Linked DNA regions of Cricetulus griseus. The protein of the gene in region 1 binds, or shares a complex with, the protein of each later gene. Links are inferred from orthologs where the notes say so. Each region holds a gene or a part of one and is shown in the gene's direction. Other genes may lie near its edges.

Evidence for each region.
Region 2: the proteins of Mep1a (region 1) and Fetub are in contact, whole or in part, in a cryo-EM structure (PDB 7UAI), measured with the Homo sapiens proteins. The link is inferred for Cricetulus griseus from reciprocal best matches to the Homo sapiens genes MEP1A and FETUB. Residues at the interface, in NP_005579.2 of Homo sapiens: Asp126, Gly127, Cys128, Trp129, Ser130, Glu131, Val132, Gln145, Gly146, Cys147, Tyr149, Ile152, His155, Glu156, His159, Tyr164, His165, Gln167, Ser168, Leu184, Gly186, Tyr187, His189, Asn190, Asp192, Tyr194, Tyr214, Gln215, Phe217, Ser218; in NP_001362516.1 of Homo sapiens: Phe109, Phe110, Lys144, Lys145, Tyr148, Met149, Thr150, Cys151, Pro152, Asp153, Cys154, Pro155, Ser156, Ser157, Ile158, Ser196, Ser197, Gln198, Trp199, Val200, Val201, Gly202, Tyr205, Phe206, Thr242, His245, Trp246, Phe249, Val250, Ser251.

Annotation. Positions count from the first base shown.
Region 1 is NW_023276807.1:29,813,723-29,817,545, reverse strand, and holds part of Mep1a (meprin A subunit alpha), read left to right. Parts: intron 1-623; coding exon 624-699; intron 700-3,697; coding exon 3,698-3,815; intron 3,816-3,823.
Region 2 is NC_048597.1:65,921,029-65,924,620, reverse strand, and holds the end of Fetub (fetuin-B), read left to right. Parts: intron 1-1,128; coding exon 1,129-1,233; intron 1,234-2,528; coding exon 2,529-2,906; downstream 2,907-3,592. UniProt on the Homo sapiens protein: Protease inhibitor required for egg fertilization.

The DNA of each region.
Region 1 (3,823 bases):
ATTATCTCTAAGGCGTTCCCGTTGTTTTTATAATGACAAGATAAATGCTCTGAGTTAGTCTTTGCGGTGTCAGTTGAGTGAGGGTCATGAAGGTAGTCTTGGGCACTGGTTTTCTCGGACTTTGTTGTTGTTGTTTGGTTGTTTTCCATTTTGGTATCATTACTTAATCAGTTTCCAAAGTAGCTGTTTCCCTTGTGGCATTTTTCATGTCTACTTAGATTTAGTTGGCTCTCCTTCCCACCTATTGCTGTTCCCCATCTCCCGATCATCATCCATGTTTTAACCCCTCCGTCCCCTGCCTTCCCCTTTCTCCTTCAAATCACTGGTGTTCTCTTACCCCACCCACCCGTCTCCCTTTAGGCCTCCATTTTGTATTTTCACCAGTTCCTTTCTAGTTTCCTGGCCTCTGTCCATCTTCACTTTCACCTAAACACCAAGATATGCATATAAAAAGCTAGAAACTAGGTCCTACCTGTGGGAGAGAACCTGTGGTGTTTACCTTTCCACACGTGGGAGACGTGGCACATGCGTACAGTGAAATTGTATCCAGCTGGAAATAAAAATGAAGCCAGTAGAGGAATGGATGGAACTGGACAACATATGTTTTCTCTTGTTTTTCACAGAGAACCAGAAATGCCCTGAGAGACCCAACAAGAAGATGGAAGTTCCCCATTCCATACATCCTGGCTGACAACTTGGGTAATGGAAGTCTTTCTTAACTAGAAATGGGTAAACTTTTCTCTCCCTTTTCTCCTGCTCATCAACTTCAGACCAATATAAAGAGCCCTGAAGATTCTTTATCTCTTGGGAAGAAAGCCATGATATTTCTTTATCCAATCAAATAACAAGTCAAGGTTTGGACGGATGACTCAGTCAGCAAAGTGCTTGTTTTGCAAGCACAAGGACCTGAGTTCGATCACCAGCATCCAAGTAAAAACTCTGGCAGGCTGACTCATGCTTGTACTCTCGGTGCTTGGAAGGTAGAGACAAGTGGGTCCTTGGGGTGGGCCCAGCCCAGCCTCCTTCGTGAACTCCAGGAGGAGAGACCCTGCCTCAAATAAACTGACCTGCCCCTGAGGAACAACACCCACAATTGACTCCTGACTTCCATATGCTCAAACTTGTACATGTGTACCTGCCTCAACACAAACATGCACATTCGTACATGTGCATGTATGAATGCTCTCTCTCTCTCTCTCTCTCTGTCTCTCTCTCGCACACGTGCACACACACACACACACACACACACACACACACACACACACACAGTCAGATATTACTGCACATGTTAAAATGTTAGTATAATCAGGAACAACACAAAGAACAAAACTGTGAGATAAAATTTGACACCATAGTGGTAAAATTTTGTGCTTCATTGGTACAAAGGCTGAGCTGAGTACAGATTGAGGATACTATTTCCAGCGTATCGATTTCTTCTCTTCTTTGTTGTGAGAGGAATATAGCATGTTTTGGAAAAATAGAAAGCAAATATTATCCATGTTCAAGTCCCTTTTTCTCAACATTAATAATTTTGACTTTCTCCTTTCTCCTTTCTCTTAAGATAAAGATCTGTATACTTTGTGTTTTAGTCACTGATTAATTGGTAGTAAATAAATGACTATTAGATGCAATGAATAGGTACTGGCTGATCCTCAAGTGACACTCCAATAAGAACCACAATGACACCTTGTCTGCAAAACCTACTCTTCATTGATAGAGAAGATGAGATGGGACAGGGGAAGCCAGGCCAAGGTTGCATCATTTGCAACAGACAGGCAGGCATGGCAGAGGAGCAATAGGTAGGAACTTATATCCTGATCCTCAGGCAGGAGGTAGAAAGAGTGACACTGGGCCAGGAGTGGGCTTTTGAAATCTCAAAGCTCCCCAACCAGGTGGCACACCTCCTCCAACAAGGCCACACCTCCTAATCCTTCCCAAATAGTACCCCTAACTGGGAAATAAGCATTCAAACACATTTGCCTATGGAGACCATTCTCATTCAAACCCCACATCCCACTTGCTGGCCCTCCTAGGCTTGTAGCTAAATCATAGTACAAAATGCTTTCAGTCCGACGTTACTGTTTTATTTTTTTTAACATATTCTAGATATTGGTTCTGTGCCAGATAAATAGTGTGACAGTTTTTAGGCTAATTCTTTGCTCTCTTGACTTGACTTCTTGGCTGTGTGGAAGCTTCTTAGTTTGTTACAATATCACATATAGTTTTTGCTTTTGAGGATCTTGCTCTGGGGTTCTCAGCCAAAAATCTATACAGATGTGTTGAATTGATTCCCCTAAGCTGTCTCCTGGAAGCAATGTGGCTACCCAGGTTGTCCAGTGCCGTTTATTGAGAAACTCCTTTCTCCAATACATGCTTTAGTGCAATGGAAATAATATAGTGTTCAAAAATAATCCCATGAATTTTACAGTCAACTATTATCAACGAGGACACTAAGGACTCCCTTCCTCCCTCCCTCTCTCCCCTCATCTTCCCTACCCTCCCTTCTCTCTGACAAAATCTTACTCTGCAGCTGAGGTTGGCCTTGAACTGAAATCAGTTCTCACAAGTGCTGAGATAATACATGTGAACAGACCTGCCCAGTTAAGGACTATTTCCGTAATGATGTTGCTATTACTTTATGACTCTCCAACCTGGTACTTTAAGAAATGAGAACCATGATGTAATCATTTGGCAGAATTCCAAGGATTATATTTTTTTTAGTTAAAGCATAAAATGAAATGTGCAAACCCAAGGATTTCATTTTCTATGACTTGGATTAATTTTTAATTAAGCTCTCTACCTCCAGTGAGTTGATGGTAGGGAAAAAGAATGCAAATGAAGTAAAATATAATCTCAATTCTCTGGGAGTTCACTCCTTTCCCACCTATCCTTGCCATGGGTAGAACTGTACTTGCATGGTGCTGGCTGGTTGGTCTTACTACTTCCTACTGCTCTCACTGGGGAAAAAGGTGACACCCCATGTTGTTTCTTTGCTTCAAGAATATTCACACATCTCTCTCCTCCGTCTAAGAGGAATTTAAAAAAAAAAAAAAAAACAATGGGCCTTACTTAGCCCACATTGGCCTTGAACTCCTGATCCTTCTGCCTCCTCCTCCCAAGTGCTGAGAGTATAGGCATAAACCAGTATGCCTTGTTTACACGGTCATAAGGATGCACTCAAGACCTGAAGCAAGCTAGGCAAGCTCTCTACCAGCTGAGCTGCATCCCCAGCCTGGGAAGATGTTATTTTAGTGAGTGGGTAGGACCACTATTTCTATATCTTCTATCCAAGGTACTGCACCCACACATACAAAAGCCAGAGTGACTTGAAACCCATATCTGTTTCCTACTTTGCCACGTGACTCTTCTCAGGAAAAGCACTGAAGGAAAGAAGAAAAAAAGGAGAAAAAGGAAGATGTTGTTCTATGGTTTAGCTCAGCTTTGTACACATGCATGAGCTACTACCCTGCAGTCCCATTTGTGTTGATGATCTAAATTATGAACCAGCACTGTGTATGCAACTAACTGCAAATTTTGTTTCCAAGGAATTGAGTTATTGCCCAAAAGAAAAAAAAAGAGAAAAGAAAAAACTCTTCTTGAAACCTCAGTGTATTTCATATCCATGGTACAGCCTTCTATAAACTATAAGCTGTGTCTGTTATCCAGACTCTCAACAATGCCTGTCAATGTTTTACAGATCTGAATGCCAAAGGAGCCATCCTCAATGCCTTTGAGATGTTTCGCCTCAGGTCCTGTGTGGATTTCAAGCCCTATGAAGGAGAGAGTTCGTACATCATCTTCCAGCAATTTTCTGGGTTAGTAT
Region 2 (3,592 bases), on another chromosome or scaffold:
GCATCTTGATCCACAAGTAGGAGGCAGACAGAACTAACTGGAAATGGTCTAGGTGTTTGAAACCTCATAGTCCACCCTCAGTGGCACACCTCCCAATCCTTCCCAAAGAGTTCCACCAACTGGGGCCCAAGGATTCAAATAGATAAGCATATAGGAGACATTCTCATTCAAACTGCCACATAAAGATTTACTCTAAGGAAAAAACTAGAGATACATGAAAAAAATAGTTTCAATGTTTAAAAAAATTACATTAAATCTAGTTGTTTGACAAGAGACTTTATTAAATGAAGAGAAATACTAGGTAGCCATAGCCATCATAAAGATAATCATCAAAACAAACAACAACAACAAAGAAAAACATAGAAGATTGTCCAGTGCCATACAAAGATTTTTATAATATATTGCTCAGTGACAAAATAGTTATAAAATATCATATGTAATATGATCTAACTGCTTAGAAGAAAAATATGCATGAGTAGGGAAAAGATTAGAAGAAAATGTCAAAGGTTTGCAGGCAATGAGAACCATTTATGGAGTTACAGGTCGTGGCTCTTTATTTATGTAGTTCTAAATAATTTATTATCTTTATTTTTTTTGAGACAGGGTTTTTCTGTGTAGCTCTGTAAACCAAGCTGGCCTTGAACTCACAAAGATCTGCCTGCCTCTGCCTCCTGAGTGCTGGGATTAAAGGTGTGTGACACCACCACCCGGCTTTACCTTTATCATTTTCTAAAAGTAGTTTTATTTTCAAATAGACAGAAACTGAAGGAGCTGAGAGTGTTTTTGCCTGAGAAGACAAAACTTCATTTGGAGCACATTAAGGGTTCCTGTAAAGAGGAAACAACCAACCTTCCTAATTGAGCCAATAGCAGACCCAGGCAATGGACAGTGCATAATGACAGACCCAGGGCCAGGCAGTGAGCAAGGTGTAGGCACAGGAAGAACTTCGTAAAAAACCACTGTTCCCAAGCTGCACCTGGTTGTTTTTAGGTAATTCAGAGGGAACTGGCTGAGTCATGCCCTCTTTCAAGGCAGGAGCAGGAAAACGTGGTGCAGCTGTGTGTCTACACAGCAGAAAGCAGGGGCTCTGCTCACCGGTGACTTAATACTCACATGTCTTTCTTTTAGCCTGTCGGCTTTTGCCATGGTTCTATGGTTCAAGGATCAGTTCAAGTACCAGCTCTGATTCGAAAAAAGAGTGTCTCTGTGACTTGTGAGTTTTTCGAATCTCAGGTATTTATCTCTCTTTTTTTAAATAGTATTATTAGTGTGTGTTTGCAAATGTAGTATATGAGCACATGGCAACTTGGTGGTTTGTTCTCTCCTTCACCTTCACGTGGGTTCTGGGGCCTGGGACTCAGGCCACTGGGCTTGCAGGAGTGTGGCTTTCCCCAATTGAGCCTCTCATCCTAACCCCGTGATTTCCAATGGAATCAGACCATCTATCTCTAGGGGCCTATTCCCCACCTACTTTTGGTTTTCTCAAGATCCAGGGTCACTTTACTTAGGCCATCTAAGCCCATACCTAAAAGAGAGAAGATTATCCTGCTATTTTAGTCACAGTGTGGCCCTGTAGAATAAAGGAAAACACTCAGAAACAGTGAACTACAAACTTGCCTAGCTCAAGCCTTCAAGGTGCTAAATTCAGTATCTCAGAGCTACCTCTCTCATCTCAGGGAGGCTCACTTCCATGAAAACGTCCAATCCCTAGTATTTATTATGGGGTAGCCTGATCCGACCAGTCAGGCTGCCTGGCCTTCATCCCTGCTCTGCCCCTACAAGCTGTGTGGCCACAGGCACCCACCTTCTGTGTCTGGGTCTTGCTACCCTCATCGCCTGCTGGTTCTGATTCCTAAGGTGGACCCACCTTAGAGAGGACTGGGATGAAGGGTGTCATACCAGGACTGGCACAAAACAAACAATAAAAGAGGCCATTTGCTGCCACACCTGGGAGTAAAGGGGAATCTGAATAAATCCTTAAGCCCCTCTGAACCACTGCTCTGAAAGGAAACAGCAGTTTCTGCAGGCCTTGGTTCCACTTGGCCACTTAACGTGTTTTTTCATGAATCTTTGTATTAGGAGGCCCAGCCCTGTAGCTTCTCAAACTGTTGGTCATGACCCCTTGGCCCTGAGGGGTGGTGGTGGTGATGAATGACCTTTTCATGGGGGTGGTCTAAGACCATCAGCAAACAGATATCTGCAGAATGATTCATATCAGTAGCAAAATTGCAGTTATGAAGTAGCAATGAAAGTAATTTTATGGTCAGGGTTCACCACACATGACAAACTGTATTAAGGAAAGGGTCTCAGCATTAGGAAGCTTGAGAACCGCTGCGGCTGTAGCTGGTTTCTGTAAGCATCCAGAACCTGTAATCCCAGCACTCAGAAGACTTGAGGCAAGGGAGGAAGATTTCCAGTCTAGGCTATCCACGTCTAAGACCTCATTACAAATGCGCAGCCACAAAACTGCTTTGCCTGGAGCTGGCATTCCCTGTAGAATTCCGAATTTGAAAACACTGTTGTTTCAGGCTCAGGTTCCTGGAGATGATAACACTGCTGCTACCCAGGAGTCTAAGAAACTCCCCACGGCGGACGAGGCCCCTCAGAAAAACACCGCCCCCACCAACTCCCCCTCCAAAACTGCTCCAAGAGGATCCGTTCAGCACCTGCCTGACCTGGATGTTGAGAAGCCCGAAGACTCCAAGGAAAAGAGTCCCGTGGAAGCCTTTCCCGTGCAGCTGGATCTAACCACGAATCCCCAGGGGGACACGCTGGATGTTTCCTTCCTCTACCTGGGGCCCGAGGAAAAGAAGCTGGTGGTGCTGCCATTCCCGGGAACGGAACGGCGCTCCACCGAGTGCCCCGGGCCAGCAGAGGGAACCAACCCTCTTATCCTCCCACCCTGAGAATCACAAACAGGGCTTCCCATAAGATGTGGTCCCCTGCACCAGATGAGAGGTGGTGGGAATGGGAAGGAGACAGACGATCAAATGTAGAAAGGCTAATAAAGTGAACCCTCCTATTTGCATCTTGATCTCAGTGTGTGACTGGAAATGGAAATGAGACTAAATCCCCACTCTGGGCCACACTGGTCTTGTTCTGTATGCTGGGGGGTATCCTGTACAAACTGCTCAGACTCCAACTGCCTTTTGGTTTCTCCCTATTTTAATCTTTTAAAGATCTTTACTCATGCAGAACCGACATGATACACATAAGCCAGAATAGCTGTAATATCACTAGATGATTTCACTTAACCGGTCTATTGTAACACATGGAGCACTGCTCTCCTAAATGCTCTTTGTATATAGCTTGTGACTATGATTTCAGTTTCTGGTAACTTTTTGTCTGGGTTGTTTTTATTTTATTTTTAATGATAAAAGGGCAATGTTGTTAGATGAGGTACTTTAGATACCCTCCAGCTTTCTTTTTAAAACTTTTTTTTTTTTTTTTTTTTTTTTTTTGTTTTTCGAGACAGGGTTTCTCTGTGTAGCTTTGGAGCCTATCCTGGCACTCGCTCTGGAGACCAGGCTGGCCTCGAACTCACAGAAGTCCGCATGCCTCTACCTCCTGAGTGCTGGGATTAAAGGCATGT